2 linked regions of the Schizosaccharomyces pombe genome follow. The gene in region 2 interacts genetically with the main gene of each other region. Each region holds a gene or a part of one and is shown on either strand. Other genes may lie near its edges.

The links. Genes that interact genetically often act in the same process or in processes that back each other up.
Region 1: of crp79 (region 2) and mog1, a mutation in one rescues a mutant of the other (synthetic rescue), as found in Schizosaccharomyces pombe (one study listed by BioGRID).

The regions. Positions count from the first base shown.
Region 1 is NC_003421.2:2,246,800-2,249,845, forward strand, and holds mog1 (Ran GTPase-binding protein Mog1), read right to left. Parts: upstream 1,407-3,046; 5' UTR 1,366-1,406; coding exon 793-1,365; 3' UTR 562-792; downstream 1-561. Other genes in the region: Golgi rhomboid protease Rbd2, read left to right, coding at 1-116; cell wall and secondary septum 1,6 branched 1,3-beta-glucan synthase catalytic subunit Bgs4, read right to left, coding at 2,480-3,046. UniProt on the Schizosaccharomyces pombe protein: Involved in the Ran-GTPase system for nuclear protein import and poly(A)+ mRNA export. Required for mitosis-to-interphase transition.
Region 2 is NC_003424.3:1,791,897-1,796,885, forward strand, and holds crp79 (poly(A)-binding protein Crp79), read right to left. Parts: upstream 3,077-4,989; coding exon 2,956-3,076; exon of another isoform or gene 2,871-2,955; coding exon 2,693-2,870; exon of another isoform or gene 2,602-2,692; coding exon 2,127-2,601; exon of another isoform or gene 2,056-2,126; coding exon 697-2,055; 3' UTR 537-696; downstream 1-536. Other genes in the region: mrpl1 (mitochondrial 54S ribosomal protein uL1m), read right to left, coding at 1-347; protein Mmc1, read left to right, coding at 4,404-4,989. UniProt on the Schizosaccharomyces pombe protein: Binds the poly(A) tail of mRNA. Involved in the export of mRNA from the nucleus to the cytoplasm.

The sequences.
Region 1 (3,046 bases), on a different chromosome or scaffold from region 2:
CTTGGGTAAAAAACTATCACTCTTTTGATCAACTGTCGCATGCTCAACTCCCCATTGCGGAACCTCTGTCGACCTTTTCTTCTTTCCCCGGAAAAGGAACCCGTCTTGGGGGATGAACTTTCTGTCTTTTACTTCTTTTCTGTTCTTCTTCGTATGATGATATCCTAAATGTTTGTTTTCTTTATTGCAAAGGGTGGAAAAGCTCCTCTCAATGAAGAGATCTTCTATCTTTTGGTAATTCTTATTCAGTATTTTCTAGTCAGTCGTTTACAGGTTTCAATCATAAAGATTGTTTCATTCGCTATATTTGTTCTTTACTTGCACGGAGTTAGGGACAATTAGAAAGTATTTTAATGTTTAATAATTCTTTATGATTAACTTGTTTTAATCACCACTGTCCTACAGCGGCAGTGTAAAGGACAAAAGCTGTACAATCAAAACACCTTGAAATTGTAATTTCCGTTATTCTTTGGAAACTAGCGTTTTACGTTGTACTCTCAAATCATAAAACATTAAACTGTAAAGACACAGTGAAACTTATACTATTAACAATGGAAGAATGGGAAAATTAAAATAATAGCAGAAAAAGTGAAAACCATTGCTAATCGGTTATCAAGTATCAGATGTTTTTATTAAAACCCTTCATACAAGTTGGAATAACCGGTTTTTATAAATAAGAGAAACAATTCCTTTCGGATAAAGAAAAATAAAACTTGAAAAGTATTTCCCTAGATGAAAATCTTAATTAAGTGTTGTGGGCTAGTTAATTTGCTTGCCTATGTCCATCATCCTTTAAGCAAATACTGTTTTATCGACAAGTACAAGAGATCGAGTAACTCGCTGTATTGTTTCGAGAGCAGCGCGAACGATGCTTTGATCAGAAGGGGGAATGTTTTCAACAGAAGAGGGAACTGAGGAAGTGTTAGGTAAAGGAGCATTTACGGAGATTACGATATCTGTTTGAAAGTCAATCAAAGTTATCACATTCACGAAGATTGCCACATTGGTAGCGGATTCAGGATTTCGCTTTCCTTTTTCAAGGACCCTCTGACAACCTTGTACAGAAGATCCACTAGCCTTTTCGCTTCTCATGCCCTCAAAGTCGTCTTCACCAAGACTTTTGTCTCTCCAAATTACTCTTTGAGATGCATCATTATCGAATGCAATGCTATTGAAATGGTAAGCTGCCACACTTCCATCAAATGGCTTCTCAATTTTTTCCAAAAGCTCAATGATCACTGTTAGGTTTTCCTTGGAATCTTGCAAAAACACCTCTTGGTTGTCAGGAATCTGACGCAAAACGCTAGCATCGAGAAATTTAGGAGGGAAATCAGCACAAAGAGCCCCACCGAATAGCTGTACCATTACTATAAAAATATAAAAACCTAATAGATTTGTTTGTCTCAAGAACCAGATTGGTATTCGAACCACAAAAGGATTCTTTCCTATTTTCACTCCATTTCATTCGACTGCGGTAACAAGTTAGTGCGTGTTATTTTATGTTTCATTATTATATTTATCGCTAGTAAAACGCTTTAAATGAGCCTAGATTCAATTTTCAATATTTACGCACTGCACGGTAACTACTAAACTGATTTAAAATTAAAATAAAAAGAAATTCAAATTGATGATTTTTAATGAAAATGATATGTTAAAAATAAAATTTTGTACACATATATAGTTTCTAATATCGTTTTGACAACTAGTATATCAAATGGATGAAAGGACGCTCGTAATCTTGTAATCATGAGTCCATTCAGATATCCATAACTAATACAAGGATAGGGCGTCTGATAACTTTTACGATTAAGTTGATTAGTTGTTCAGCCTTCCACTTGTGTGATACAAAAGAGAAATGGAATTGCACACTAGAGTGGTTATTTCAAACTTTCTATTGATCTGAAAAACCTAAATTAAACGTTCACTAGATAATAAGTATTCAACCAAAAGATCAATTTATGTACGGTATCATAATCTACTTCAATACTTTTACACAATTACATCACCTTATATTTTAAACAAATATCCATTAACTGACCAGCAATAATATAGGTAAAAGTTTTGTGAACCAATGGGAATTCTTATTCATTTGTATATAGATAAATGAAGAAATGTATATATATGCATAAAATCCTAGCCCATCAAACTGTAACCTGAAAAGGCTTGTAACAAAACTCATCAATCTCAAACTTGTAAATGGTGAAATAGCAAATGTAACGTAGATAGAAAGATGGTATGAGTAAAAAATGATAAACGGTTAACCCTTTAGCTTTGCTTTTATCCTTCAGAGCTCAATAACTCAAGTCGAAGAGATGGGACCAAGCACATGCTGAAATGTATGAATGAAATGAGTGTAACAAATAAAATTAATAAATTGCTGAGATACTTGACGAAAGCTCATCAGAACATCAGTGTAATATAATAGCGAACTAGCGCATCTTTTCAAATTCATTTTAAATGATTTTTCTAATAATCCCATCTAGTAAGTGGTATTGAATTCGAAATGGTATCTGTCGTACCAGAAAGAATAATTAGCAGTATAATTCGTGTCCCTTGGTTGAATGATACCGCTACCAATTGAAGAGTTAGTTTGGTTCCATCCAACAGCACCCTTGGCAACAGCCTCAGAAGCAGTTAATCCTTGGCGGATTTCTGCACCAGCTGCCAATGGAACAATAATAAGAATAAGGAATATTACCAAAATTGAAAAGTACAAGGCTGAATAACGACGAACAATACGTTTCCGCAGTCTATTCTGCTTGGTAGAGAAAATAGGAGGACGAATTTGACGACTTGGGCGCAACCAGAAAAGAAGAACTGAATGCCAACGATCAATATATGGGATACAAATCACAGGAAGCATAAAAAACAGTAATAAGTGACCCAAGAAGAAATCAGTAGCAAACAAATTAAGTTCTATGGCTTTACAGACAAATTCACGAGCAGGCAAAGTAAAGGCATGATAGCCATATCCTTTGCCATACCATTTACCACTCCACCAAGAAATATTAGCACTATCTTGTTTGACCTCACGAGATAAACATAA
Region 2 (4,989 bases):
CCCAATTTTAAAGCTTCATCTGCAGCTGCACCTTTAGCAAACACACAAATTTTAGGAGGCTCTTGAAATGGATGAGGAAAGGCAATTTGACCACGAGCTGACGGAGCGCGTCGATTACTTTTTAAAGCAATTGAAAGCATATAAGACCCAACATATGGAACAGAAATGCTCACAGATTTGAGATATTTTGTGGCTTCAGGAACTGTCATCGCAAGAGCGGGAAAATTGGATTTCTTGTTTAGTTGAGAAATAAACCTTTTGCAGAAACCCTTTTGATTTTTAAAATTTAAAAATTCATTATGTGACAATAATGTTTGCCGTTTACCTAACGCTATTAATGAACTCATGGTTTTTAATCTGGTTCGTCAAACTGTCACCAAGCTACTGGATGTCAGTCAATGAACCTGCTAAAATCATAAATCTCTAAACAAATCTGATCCAGCTGTCAACTTTCGAATTAATAAAGAATTATCTTTCAAATCAAATTTCCTTATAATGTTTTTGATTAAAGACTAAAAATAAACGGTTTCGTTTAAATTCCACGTTGTGGTAGTTGTAAGATACTGTAGGGTTATACTAGCAAATCCATCCGTTCACGATGTATATATTTTAAGGAGTTAAAAGTTTGTTCATCGGAGTTTTGAGGGATATAGCATTATGAATTTTGTTTCATAGTTATATCTTCACCGCATCTTGTTAAATCTGCGTCAACTGAATAGTTGTTGGTGAATTGTTGTTAACCTTTGTTGTTGATAAAAAATTTTCCTTATTTGAATCTTTAATATGATAGGAATTCATTTTTTGGATATTGGATGTAGCTTCTGGATAGCTGTCCATGTACCCGACAAGTGAAAGCATGTTCGTTGACTCATTACAGTCCTCATCTTGGAAATGTGAGGGCTCAACTGTTACGTACGTAAGAGTTGTACAGGTTGTTGCTCTTGCTCTTGGCACAAAGTATGCATTACTCAGCTTTTTGTTGTGAAGCATGTCTTGTATCTTCTTCAAGTTGGTGGCTGTTGAACCCATCTTAGCAGACCCTCGGTTATTTAGTTTTGTGTTAGCATGGAATACCAATGGTTTTAACAAGTTTCCTTGTTCTCCGTCATGGCTCAATTTTCCTGCTTCTTTCTTTATATCCAAGTTGCCTGATAACTGTCCACTAAGTTCCTTATTTTCTTGCTTACAGTTAACATATTCATTTGTCTGACTGGGTTCTTTGTTTTCACCAGTCTTAGGCTCATTCTTATTTTCAACCTTACTTGAAAGGGTCGTGGGATTCTCAGAGATTTTGTTTGTAGAAGACTCTATTGGCTTTCGGATGGTAACAGTAGAGCTTCTTTCTGGTTTGACGAACAAAGCTTTGTTGTCTTGCTGCGCTGTTTGTTCTGAAGTAGGTTTGTTTGCAAAAAATGCTTGCAATCTACGAATTCTGTCAGACTTTCGCTCCGCGAAGCAAACGAAAATCCTTTTTTTCCCAACCATCATTCCATTCAATGTGTCTTTGGCTCTAACGGCAGCCTCTATTTGACGAAACGCTACGAAACCATAACCTTTGGAGATTCCTGAATTTGGATAGCATGCTAACATGGAAGACAAAATCGACCCGAAGGGTGAGAATAAATCTTCCAGCTGACTCTTGCATGTGATGACGGTATCATCTAAATTTTTAACGTATAGATTTGAAGGGTCAATAGGAGAATTAGGGATACTTGGAGAGCTTTCACGTAAAGAGTCCCAATGCACGATTGACTGAGGTTTATTATCTGGGTTCCAAGCGGCTGGATGATTTTGCTGATTTGAAACACCGGTAGTTGAAACGCTACCCCATTGGCTTTTCTCCTTAGTTGGTGAGCCCATAATCCATGTCATCTTCGAACATGTAGCATTTTCGATATTTATTTGAGTTTTGTTAGCGTTTTCCGATGGGAAAGGCCATAAGCTTTCACCAGTCGGCGTTGTGGGAATTGACTTCACTGAAGAAGAGGCTTTATTTTTTATACTGACCTCTAAAATGCTTCCTTTGTATGGAACGTTATTTAATTTTTCTATTGCCTTAATAATGAGGTTAGTATCATGAAATAGATTATGCAAATATTGGGGTTTTCTCTTCATATTGAGCTTACATTTTGACATGATTCAACTGAATCCATAATCACTTCGCCATACCGGAACCCTCTTTGGTCAAGAAACTGGCTGACCGCCGTCCCTTTTACTACACCAGCCTGTTTAAAGTGGTTATATAAGTCAATCGGTGTGACTTCGGCAGGTAGGTTCAAGATACTAAGGGGTAACGTAGAAGCGAAGGCATTTGGTACAACTTGCATGCTAATATCTTCCAAACCAAGAGACGGTATGGTAAGCGTTGTTTCTGGCTTCGGGTTACGCGAATTTATGCCTCTCACAGTTTCCCAATTTCTTTCTTCGACATTTGGAATAAATTCCTTAATCTGAGACTGTTTGAGTCCTGGCTTAACGTTTTCCTCATCTGTATTGTTTTGGATGCTAGGATTGAACACGTTCGCAGTGATTGACGTATCGTTAGGTTTGAATTTTTTGTCTGTCAGTTTCGCAGGATTTACGACTCTTGCTTTAATGGTCCTTTTTTTTAGGTTAGTAATTTTTTGGAGAATGATTTTTCGATTTTTTTTTCTGTAATGCTTGTCTCTAATTTTTCCCTTCAGTCACTTACAATTTTCTTTGGCCCAGAGTCATTCCTTTAGCGTCCTTTAGAACTTCTTCAATGCTTTCAGCATTAACGAATTTGACGAACCCATATTGCACTCCATTTTTAGGAGGTTTAAAAGGTTTCGCTTTTTCCTTAGGATAAAAACTATCAAGTAATCGACGAAAGATGGATTCTACTTGTCCTAAAGAATTGATTAATATATCGCTTTTATTTATGTTTTCTAATGTTTTTCCTCGTGTTTTTATCCTTGACTTGTGTGTTCATACCATATTTTGAAAAGTGTTTGATGATTTCTTCATCAGAAAGTCGGGAATCTATATTTCCTACATATATAGTACTGCTTTCATCTTCATACTGTCCGGGGACAGAGAGTTTTGAATTGTTCATTTTATCTCAAAAAAGATGTGTGATGGAAAGGAATGGTTGTTGTTTTTGGTATATATAGGATCGCTGTTTGTTTACATTTCGATGATGCATGACTGAAACTATTACCACCATAACAAATGAGAGTAAACAAACCTTAAATTGACCTCTTAACATTTTTAGAGTAATATTTTTTGTTTTTTTTTAAAAATGCTTGTTTTATATTTACAACTTGATTTCCTAATATTCATGCAGTTTGGTTCATATCTGTTTTATCCATATCTCTACTAAATCCTCAAATCGCATTTATAATGACATTTTATTTTATTTTATTATTAAAGTCAATATTACCTGCTCGCATTAAAAAATATTTCAAATTCATACCATCCTTTTTTCGGCTTTCGCTGATTTCAAATTAAAAGTTGAATTTCCTTAAATGAATCAAAAAGCAATTAGGCTAATATTCTGGTGAATCCATTCATAAATTTTCAATTATTGTTGTTTTTGGCAAACCAACTGATATCGCACAACCTGTCAATAAGTTAGGTCAATCAGTTTATTACTCAAAATCCAGATGTTACTAAATTCTTTCATCTGCTTTTTTCTTTGGTTTTCTTTGATTTTAGAAGTATGATAGTTTAGAGCTTTACTCGCCTATATTCTTTGCTAACTAACTATACAGTATTTTACTGGCAAAAGGTAATAGATTTAGATAAAATAAGTTTGAATCGAATGACCATTAAAGTAAGTGAAAAGCAATAGGTGAAGATTTAGTGTAATCATTAAAAAGGTTATAAATGTTAGCAGTTCTCCAATATTAAGAGCAATTTATGTAGCTCATTTCAGTTCCTTCTAATCCATTTTAGACTTAAAGCTTCATTCTGTCGAATACCGTTTTCTTCAAATACTTGTATAAACCTCGGATTTTGTCACTGTTTATGAACAATGAATTCGTCTAAATTAACAAAATGCAAAATTCTTTGTTTTTTTGTTTTTATGATTGTTTGACTGAACAAATAAATAAACATATACAGATTTAAGGGTTAACAATATCCAATGATTTTCCAAGAATATTATACTGCTGGGTTAAGGTATTTTGATATAACATCTACGACACTACTCAATAGACACAACTACTATACAACCTTCGGGTGCCATCAGACAACAATTATTCACTATAGTATTTGTTTTAAGAATTATTAACTTATTAGTAAATGTTTTATTGTGTATTTGGAACTTTAACTAATACTATCTAAAATCCGGTAATCTCGTTCCTTTTTGGCTTTCGAATCTAGTGTGGTTCATATGCGATCCTTTGTTGTGATTAGTTTTTCATAGGCTCAGAGAAATTATGCTAAGATTTGGAATAAAAACATGGAAGCGCTCTGTGTTGGCGATACGCAGGTCGTCGACCGCTCCACATGTGCAGATCATCTCCAATTTGCAAAAAAAGCTGCTCAATGAGCTTTATTCTTTGAGAAGATTAGTCGATGACAATTCTCCTGCAACAATTCGTGTAGGAAATGTCTCCCTTTTGCTTTCCAAATCGAATATTAGGAGGAGGATTGCGCTACAGGCGTTAAGCTCTTCTGCCGAAGATGTCGCGTGTGTCAAACAAATCACACATGCTCTTCTCGCTGCTCCCTTTATGCCTGAGTCAAAAGAATTGAAATATGCCATGGATCACAATGGACTAAACCCACTTTATATCTCGTTTGGCACAAATGCTTTGTTTGAGCGAAATGCTAGGTATAGTACGTCACATTTATTTCTTCCAAGCGACTTCCTACAAGTCAATAATCTTGAAATTATTCACCTTCCTCCGGGAACAGTGGACTCTGATATTTTGGCTAGTTGCCATGCTCGATATATATGTTCTACTTCTTATTTAAGAATGACCTCCAGTGACTTTACTACTGCAGACACGTTGGTGCTCG